Linked DNA regions of Ovis aries. The protein of the gene in region 2 interacts with the protein of the main gene of each other region in a biochemical or structural test. Links are inferred from orthologs where the notes say so. Each region holds a gene or a part of one and is shown on either strand. Other genes may lie near its edges.

Evidence for each region.
Region 1: the proteins of NSF (region 2) and NAPA form a complex in vitro, tested with the Homo sapiens proteins (2 studies listed by BioGRID). The link is inferred for Ovis aries from reciprocal best matches to the Homo sapiens genes NSF and NAPA.

What each region holds. Positions count from the first base shown.
Region 1 is NC_056067.1:54,244,469-54,248,510, forward strand, and holds the start of NAPA (alpha-soluble NSF attachment protein), read right to left. Parts: upstream 2,806-4,042; 5' UTR 2,659-2,805; coding exon 2,561-2,658; intron 1-2,560. UniProt on the Homo sapiens protein: Required for vesicular transport between the endoplasmic reticulum and the Golgi apparatus. Together with GNA12 promotes CDH5 localization to plasma membrane.
Region 2 is NC_056064.1:45,177,798-45,181,309, forward strand, and holds part of NSF (vesicle-fusing ATPase), read right to left. Parts: intron 3,116-3,512; coding exon 2,981-3,115; intron 1,946-2,980; coding exon 1,610-1,945; 3' UTR 1-1,609.

The sequences.
Region 1 (4,042 bases), on a different chromosome or scaffold from region 2:
TTCTCAAAAAGCCCTCTGGGATGGGGCCTGGTTCTTTAGTCTCATCCCCTTCTGCCTGTTCTACCTTTACGGGCTGACGCAGAACCCCCTGCAGTAAACCTTCAGACGCTGGCCTTCACACATCTGGGCCTTGCTCAAGCTGCCTCCTCTGTTGGGAGCTGTGCTCTCCCACCAGAGAGCACCCCCGGAACTCCTGCTCATCCTCCCAGGTGGAGGCTTCTCCCCACAGGGAGCCAGCCCTGGTCTCTCTGGATCTCAGTTCCCCATCATTTCTGGACAAACCTCCCCTCACCCTAGACCTCTGTTCAGACAATTCCCATTGCCTGGAACACCCTCTCCAGTCCCCACTCCTGTGGCATGTCCCAGGGTTCCCAGGGGCCCAGCTCATTCCTCACCAAGGAGTTCCTTAAGCTCATGCAGCTTCCTCTCAGGTCAGGAACCTCCCACCAATGATAAAATGCAGCCCTTAATCACATGTGACAATTCTGCTTTACTAGTGTGTTAGCAAGTCTTCATCTTGCCTTCCCAGCCAGGTGACAAAGTGTTTCAGGCCCTGACTTGGCTGCTCCTTCCAAGCATGGCCCAACAGTACACTAATCCCCAGGGACCAGACACCAAAAGCCACCCAGTAAAACCATGACCTGACTGAAAACTAAGCTCTTGGCCCCACCACAAAGCACTGCACTTGAGTTTCTCCCCTTGTGAAGGAAGCAGAAACACAGACACGCTCTCCCTACTCTCAGCCTCTGAAAGAAAACATTCCTCACCTAATCAATACAGTCCATCAGCCCCGGATGTTTTTCCACACTAGCGAGGTCTCAGCCAGGTTACTCAAGTTCTTGCGGTGGATAAGTAAACATTATCCACCACTTGTAACAATGAGCGGTTCCCATCTCCTCTCCGGGGAAGAACCCTCCTCCTCATTTCTTACCAACCTCCTAACACCGTCTCTCCTAAAGCCCCAGTCTTCCCCCGCAAACCCCGTCCCCAGCCTTGGCCTCTCTGCTGCCAGGTTCCATGGCCCCTCCTCACAGTTCCTCCTAACTCTCTACACACCCGCCTGTTCCCCTGCAGCTCTCCTCCCAGTTTCAAGAGCAACACAACGTTCCTCAGTCCTCCCTGGCTCTCTCTCCACCGGAGGTCTCAAGCCCCTTCCCCTAACCCTATCAAGTCCCCATGGCCCGAATTCCTTCCCCAACCCCTTTCAACTCCTTACTCATCACATCGCCTCTCCCTGCTCTGACAGCCCCCCTCCCACTTCTCCCATCAAACCCCCACCTTGATCCCCATCAGTCCCGCCCATCAAACCCCCACCTTGATCCCCATCAGTCCCGAACAGGCTCCATACCTGTTTCTTTCCCGGAAATGACACTGATGGTAGCTAACACTTTCAGAGTGATAACCACGTCCCAGGCTCAATTCTACACCCTTTACGCGTGCCCTACTTCAATACTAGTGGCAAATGCCTGAGACAGGTTTCTCTGAGACACCACTTCCCCATAATAAGGGAAGTTAAACAGCTTGCCCAAGGTCAAGAAATGGCAGAGCCTAGGCTTCTGACCTGAGCTTTTGATCCTCCTCAGCCACTAAAATTCCTCAAACGACAGTCATCAGAACAACTCTTATGAGCCAACATGAACTCATGTGAAATGTCTGCCACAAGCATTAGGTGTTGATTCTGTTTCCCAGCCCCCTTCAGCCCTAACCTGGGCATGCCAGTCTCATTCTGCTCACACTGCATGCCCCATCTTTACTCAAAGATCACACAGCAGGCCTCCGGCCCCTTAGGTTTTCTTATCTCCCTCATCTTTCATTTTTATCCCACCAGTTCCTAAACCAAGCTTCACTCCCACTTAGTTTCCAGCCTCCCAGCCCTCTTCGGCCTTCACTCCATCACCCCAGAGCTTCCTCTGTTCAGATCTCACTTGGCAGTCAGGTCTCTTTACACTAGTCACCTGTGACCTGGGCCATATTCACCTGAGACACTTCACGCAATTCAGACTGGGTCCATCAATCGTAGGATCATCTTAGCCCTGACGCCCGGGCCAGAGTTCACGTAAGTCCATCACCCCAGGTCTCGGAAAAGGGACGCCCTCAGGCATAAGTCCTCAGTCTCAGGGCCCAAGACTCCCGTCTGGGATCTTTCAAACAGGCTCTCCTTGAGCTCCAAAAGGCTTCCTAGCCTGGCTTCCCTCCAGGCTCCCTCGGTCCCCGCAGGCCACATTCCCTTCAAGGCCTGAGGCCGTATTCCCCTGGCCCTTTGGCCCGTCTCCAGCCTGGGGCCCCTTCCTGCCTCCAGATGGTTTCGCCTCGGCCCGGGTGTCCTCAGCCCACGGCCCTGCCACAGTCTCGGACAGTCTTTCCTCGAATCACGCTGTCAGTGCCACAGTCCGGCGTCCCGGCCATGGCTTGTACCCTCTGCTGCCTCAGACCATGCCCGTAAGCCCGCAAACCCCCGCGTCCTCTAGGCTCGAGCCCTTCGCCTCTACCGCCGCCCCAGAGCATGACTCCTCCGTCCTCTCAGCCGAGGTCCCGGCCGACCCCTGCGCGCGGTTCTTACCCAAAGAGGCCCGAGAAGAAAGACTGCGAGTTCTTCACTTTGCGCTCCGCCTCGGCCAGCAGCGCCATCGCCTCCGCCTCCTTCCCGGAGTTGTCCATAGCGGCCGCAAAAGTACTCAGCAAACCGCCGGAGCCCTGCCCTCGGAGAACTCAGATACGACCGGGTCGCAGGAGACAGGTCGGGGGAGCTTAGTGGGCTGCGTTGACGTCGCACCGGCGCGCGCCTCCTGCGGCCAGGAACCACGTGATTCGAGCTGGCCAACCAACGGCCTCGTAGCGCGGCGTGCGCACCGCAGACCACGCCCTCTCCAGCCGAGGCACGCCGCCCCGTGATTCACGGCCTCCAATCAGCGATCCAATTTTTAACGCATGCGCATGTATCTGTCTTAGGGTGCCTGGTGCGCTGGTTGATAACCCACGTGATTCCGCACAAGCCAATCGTAGCCCTCAGCGCCAAGGACCCGCCTCCTGGGCTTGTTCCTGCTCCACCAATCAACTTCAGCCTTTGGCTCCGTCTGACTTCCCTGCGGAATTTAGACCCTAGTCAGCTGATCCCTAATCGTCACGTGATAGCTCCATGCCGGAAGACTGGGTTTGACAGCTCTTTTGCGCAGAGCTTAGTCCCCGCCTCCTCTCATTACCTCCTGAAGGTCTCTTTCACTTGGAAAGGCGTCCGTGGGTAAGAAGGAAAGCGGTCTCCGTTTTGTTGCGCCCTCTGTCGACCTATGCTGAAATTGGTTTGGGAAGACCAGAGAAGGCTGCATATCTCATTTTATTGTGCTTTGCTTTCTTGCCCTTCCAAGATACACTTTAAAAAAAAACAAATTGAAGGTTTGTGGCAATCCTGCATTAAGCAGTTCTCTCAGAGCTGTGCGGTTTCCCAAACAGCATTGGCTCATTTAGTGTCTCAATGCCACGTTTAATAATTCTCACAATATTTTAAAGTTTTTTGTTACTCTTGTTAGGATGACCTGTGATTGGTGACCTTTGATGTTATTATTAAGACTGGCTCAGATAATGATTAGCATTTTTTTGCAATAAAATATTTTTAAATTATACATTTCTAAAATAATGCTGCTGCACCCTTAATAGACTGAAGTAGTCTTTCCTGGTGAGTTACTTGGACAGAGGAGCCTGCCCGGCTAAAGTTCATGGGGGTCTCAAAGAGTCGGATGCAACTGAGCGACTGACACACATACACACATAGTGTAAACATAACTTACATGCACTGGGAAACAAAGGGAAAGTCATGTGTCTGGCTTTATTTATGAACTGAACCTGCAATGTCTTAGAGGTATGCAGAGGGGAGCAGAGGTTGTCTAACGCTGGTTTCATTTAAAAAAAAAAAAAGCTAGTGAAACTGTTAAAAATTTAGGTTCAATTATATCTAGCGCCCAGATCTTAGTTTTTAATACTCTTTGTTCTCCAACAAAAGGAACGAGAGCTCCTTGGATAAAAGGCTGGTTCTAGGACACTGCACAGG
Region 2 (3,512 bases):
AAAGGGAACTGGCTGGAGCTCTGCTGTAGTCAGTACTTGCAGGTCTTTGCCCATTAAACATATTTAATATGTGTGAGCAACGACTTACTGACTTGCCTGTAGCTATGGAATTAAAAGTCAAGGGAAAGGGAGGAAAAAAGTAATCTAGATAAATGACTTTATTCCCTCAGGTGACATCCAGTCAGAGCAGATCCTCGGCACTGTGCAAGTTTTAACAGAATTGTGTATGGTGAACAGAGAGGTAACATGACTTATATTCGGCTAAACTACATGCCTCTTCACTTAGACTCGGTCTCTCTAAGGCAGATCTAAAGAGAATTCACTCAGCTGCACGAAATCCATTTGACGTGAAGGGGTTCAAACTCAGAGGCCTATGAAGTGTCAGTCGCTGAAGATTAGGTCTGAGTGCCCCGCTCTCACTTTCCACCCCACAAACAGAGGAGGCATTAACTTGATCACTGACCTGCGGGCATCAAAGGAAGAGAGGAAGGGGTAGGGATTGGGGAGAAAAACCCACATAGTTTCTTCTATGCAATTATTGAAAAAAAAAAATTGTGCTGAAACTTAAAGAAATGAAGCATAGAGAGCTGACTGTCTGACAGATTTATCTCTTCCAAGGAAAGAGCCAACACAAATGTATGTGCACCTTTACCAAGAATAATCCTCAGCAAAGTGATTAGTCTGGAACTTTAATTTACTACTCATAAGGAAAAATAGAAATAAACTGGCTTAAAAATAGTCCAGCTGAAGGTTTCTGAAAGCCACAATTTTAAAATGAATTGACCAGCAAAGATTAAAAAAGCGTTCACTTCGTGATTGCAATTTGTTATTGGTCTAAGAGCCTATTTCAGCAGTAAATGAAATAAATTTCACCTCTGCCACCCACAGCTCACACTGTTGGAACAACAGGACTGAGTGTTAATGCATGAAGCTCAGAATGCAGCCAGTCTGTCCACCGAGGACCCAGGAGAGATTCATTCAACAGAAATTGGCTGAGGGCCTGACTATGCGTCGGTCCAGCTCTGTTCCAGGAGCTGTGGACTTACTAGTGAGTGAGAGCCAAGATCCCTGAACTCATACAGCTTCGAAGAGACACAGTTAGTATCTAACTAGTATGTCAGATAAGGACAAGAAGACACAGGATAGGCACAGAGAGGGGCAGAGTTACAAAAAGAAGAGAGGTAAGCTGCCAGTAGATGTGAGAAGGTCTCAAAGAAGTTTCATCTGTTTTTGCCCAGGCAGTAGCCTGGGGCTTAGTTTTCTATGTGATCCTGGATGCTTCAACCCTACAGTAGTTTGCGTGAAATTTCTAGGAGCCCTGCCAGGGGAGAATATATACAGCCTCTGTCTAATCTCTACACTCAATCACCTTGTCCCTTGAAACAGTCTCCCAGGCCCCCTCTGGCATCTGTGCATTGCTTCCTGACTTCTGATGGACAATGCCAGGTTCCCCACCTCCACCCCGTTAGATCACTAGCTGCGACCTTAGTTAACTCACTGACAACTGGTGGGACGCTCAGGATCCTCACCTCTAAAATGAAGGGGCAGCAGAAATTGTTCTTTCAAGTCTTTTCTAACTGTAAAACCTAGTGACTCTGTAAATTAAAATTTAATCATCTTTTCTTCTATTTTTGAATTTTAAGAAGTAGGAAAGAAAGTACCAATAAGTTGTTGTTTGATCTCCGAAGCAGGTTACTAACACCAACTTGACTCTGGAAATAATACAGGAGACTTTCAACTTAAAATCTTGGTGAGAGGGAATGATAACACCTGTTGGGATAATATTGTGAACCTTCTGTGTCTGAACCATATGGAGAAGGAAGCATCTTACCTGTAGGGACATCTCAATCAACATTAGTAACTTCTTGATTCCTATCCAGACCTTCTTCCCTTTGACTTGCTGTGTAATTGTGGTGCGTTCTTCATCCTTGAAATTGCCCAACAGCTACAAAAACAATAAAAGTAAGGAAAGCATTATATAAGGACATCAACAACATTAATTTCCACATTTACCCTTGAAAGAATAGTGATAAGAACTACCTGACTGGTTCAAGCTGATAGAATTCTCTCATATTTTAAAATCCAACTTGACTTTTCTGAATCCATTAACTGCAATTATGAAAATGAAAACTGGAATCTTAAACCCTATTTTCTTATGAACCTTCAGTATAATTTAGAGATATGTTTGCTGGGGGAAAAATAGCTCCAATCCATAATAAATATCAGTTAAAATTTTTAACATTCCATTCTAAGAATAATCTGTATATGTCAAAGCAGACTAAATTTAATTCTCTCACTCAACCTCGGCACAAAAACTGCTCAGACAGGTAAGCTGGAAACATTTATCATATAGCTTCTATTTTGTTGGGAGTATGCCCAACTGTACAGGTCTTGAGGATTTTAAGAAGCCTTCCTGACTCTATCGCTGCTGAACAAGTAACTAAATAATCTTTCTTAACACTTCATCAAGTCATTTGTGAACACCAATATTAGTCAAAAGTTTAATAAAGGATATATATTTTTTTAAAAATTAAAGATTATGTCATCCTCAAAAAAGAAAACATTTTCATATTATGAGCTTGTTAATAAAAGATTCCTTTAAGGCTTTAGTTATTGCTCAAATTGATTAACTGCAAGTAAATGGACTGAACGCTAGTATGAAGAACTGAGTTTTCTATATGTTATTCTACTTCCCTCCGCCCACCAAAGCTTCTGGCCCATGTAATCTATATGCATTAGTCGTGCTGGGCACACAGTAATTCATTCCTGGCAGTTTGCATGCTGCTTCCACTGAGGAATGAAGAATTACTTCACTCTCACTTGCATTTCTCTCTTTTTCCTCCAATTCCTGAAAGTGACTGGAGGTGTATCCTGGGTTCCCTGTTCTGTGTTAACACAGAAACTAAACACCAGGTGTGATGCCTGGGGCACCCGTAGCTCCTTTCTTTGGGCAGTGTGCACTCTCCTCCCTCATCCTTACCTCCAGAGCCTCCAGCAGCTGCTCCCCTGTGGCGATGTTGGGCACGTGGATGGTGGTGCTGAAGGCGTTAAGCATTTCCATCTCCTGAAGGACATCTTTGCGGCTTGTGGTCCCAATGATAAGAAGCTTGCGACCCTGATCATAGGGAAAAAAGGTATTAAAACACAAAGGAAAGAACTCATTAGGAAACTAGACTAAGCCTGAACAACACCCATTTATTTAATTGCAGAAATGCAAATGCTTAGACAAAATAGAAGGAAAAAATTCAAAACTATCTTCTTGAAAATCTTCTTTTTGGCCACATCACACGGCATGTGGGATCTTAAGTTTCCTGTCCTGCAGTGGAAGTGGGGAATCTTAACCGCTGGACTGCTAGGGAAGTCTCTTGAAAAATCATTTAAAAATGTTATCAACGACATGATTCAGAAAGAGCAACACTTTCTTCAGCATGCGGTTCAGAAAGAAGCAGCTGTCCTTTCTCCTCATCCACATCAGTAACATCCTGGGTCAGTAAATCAGGAAGATATACAAA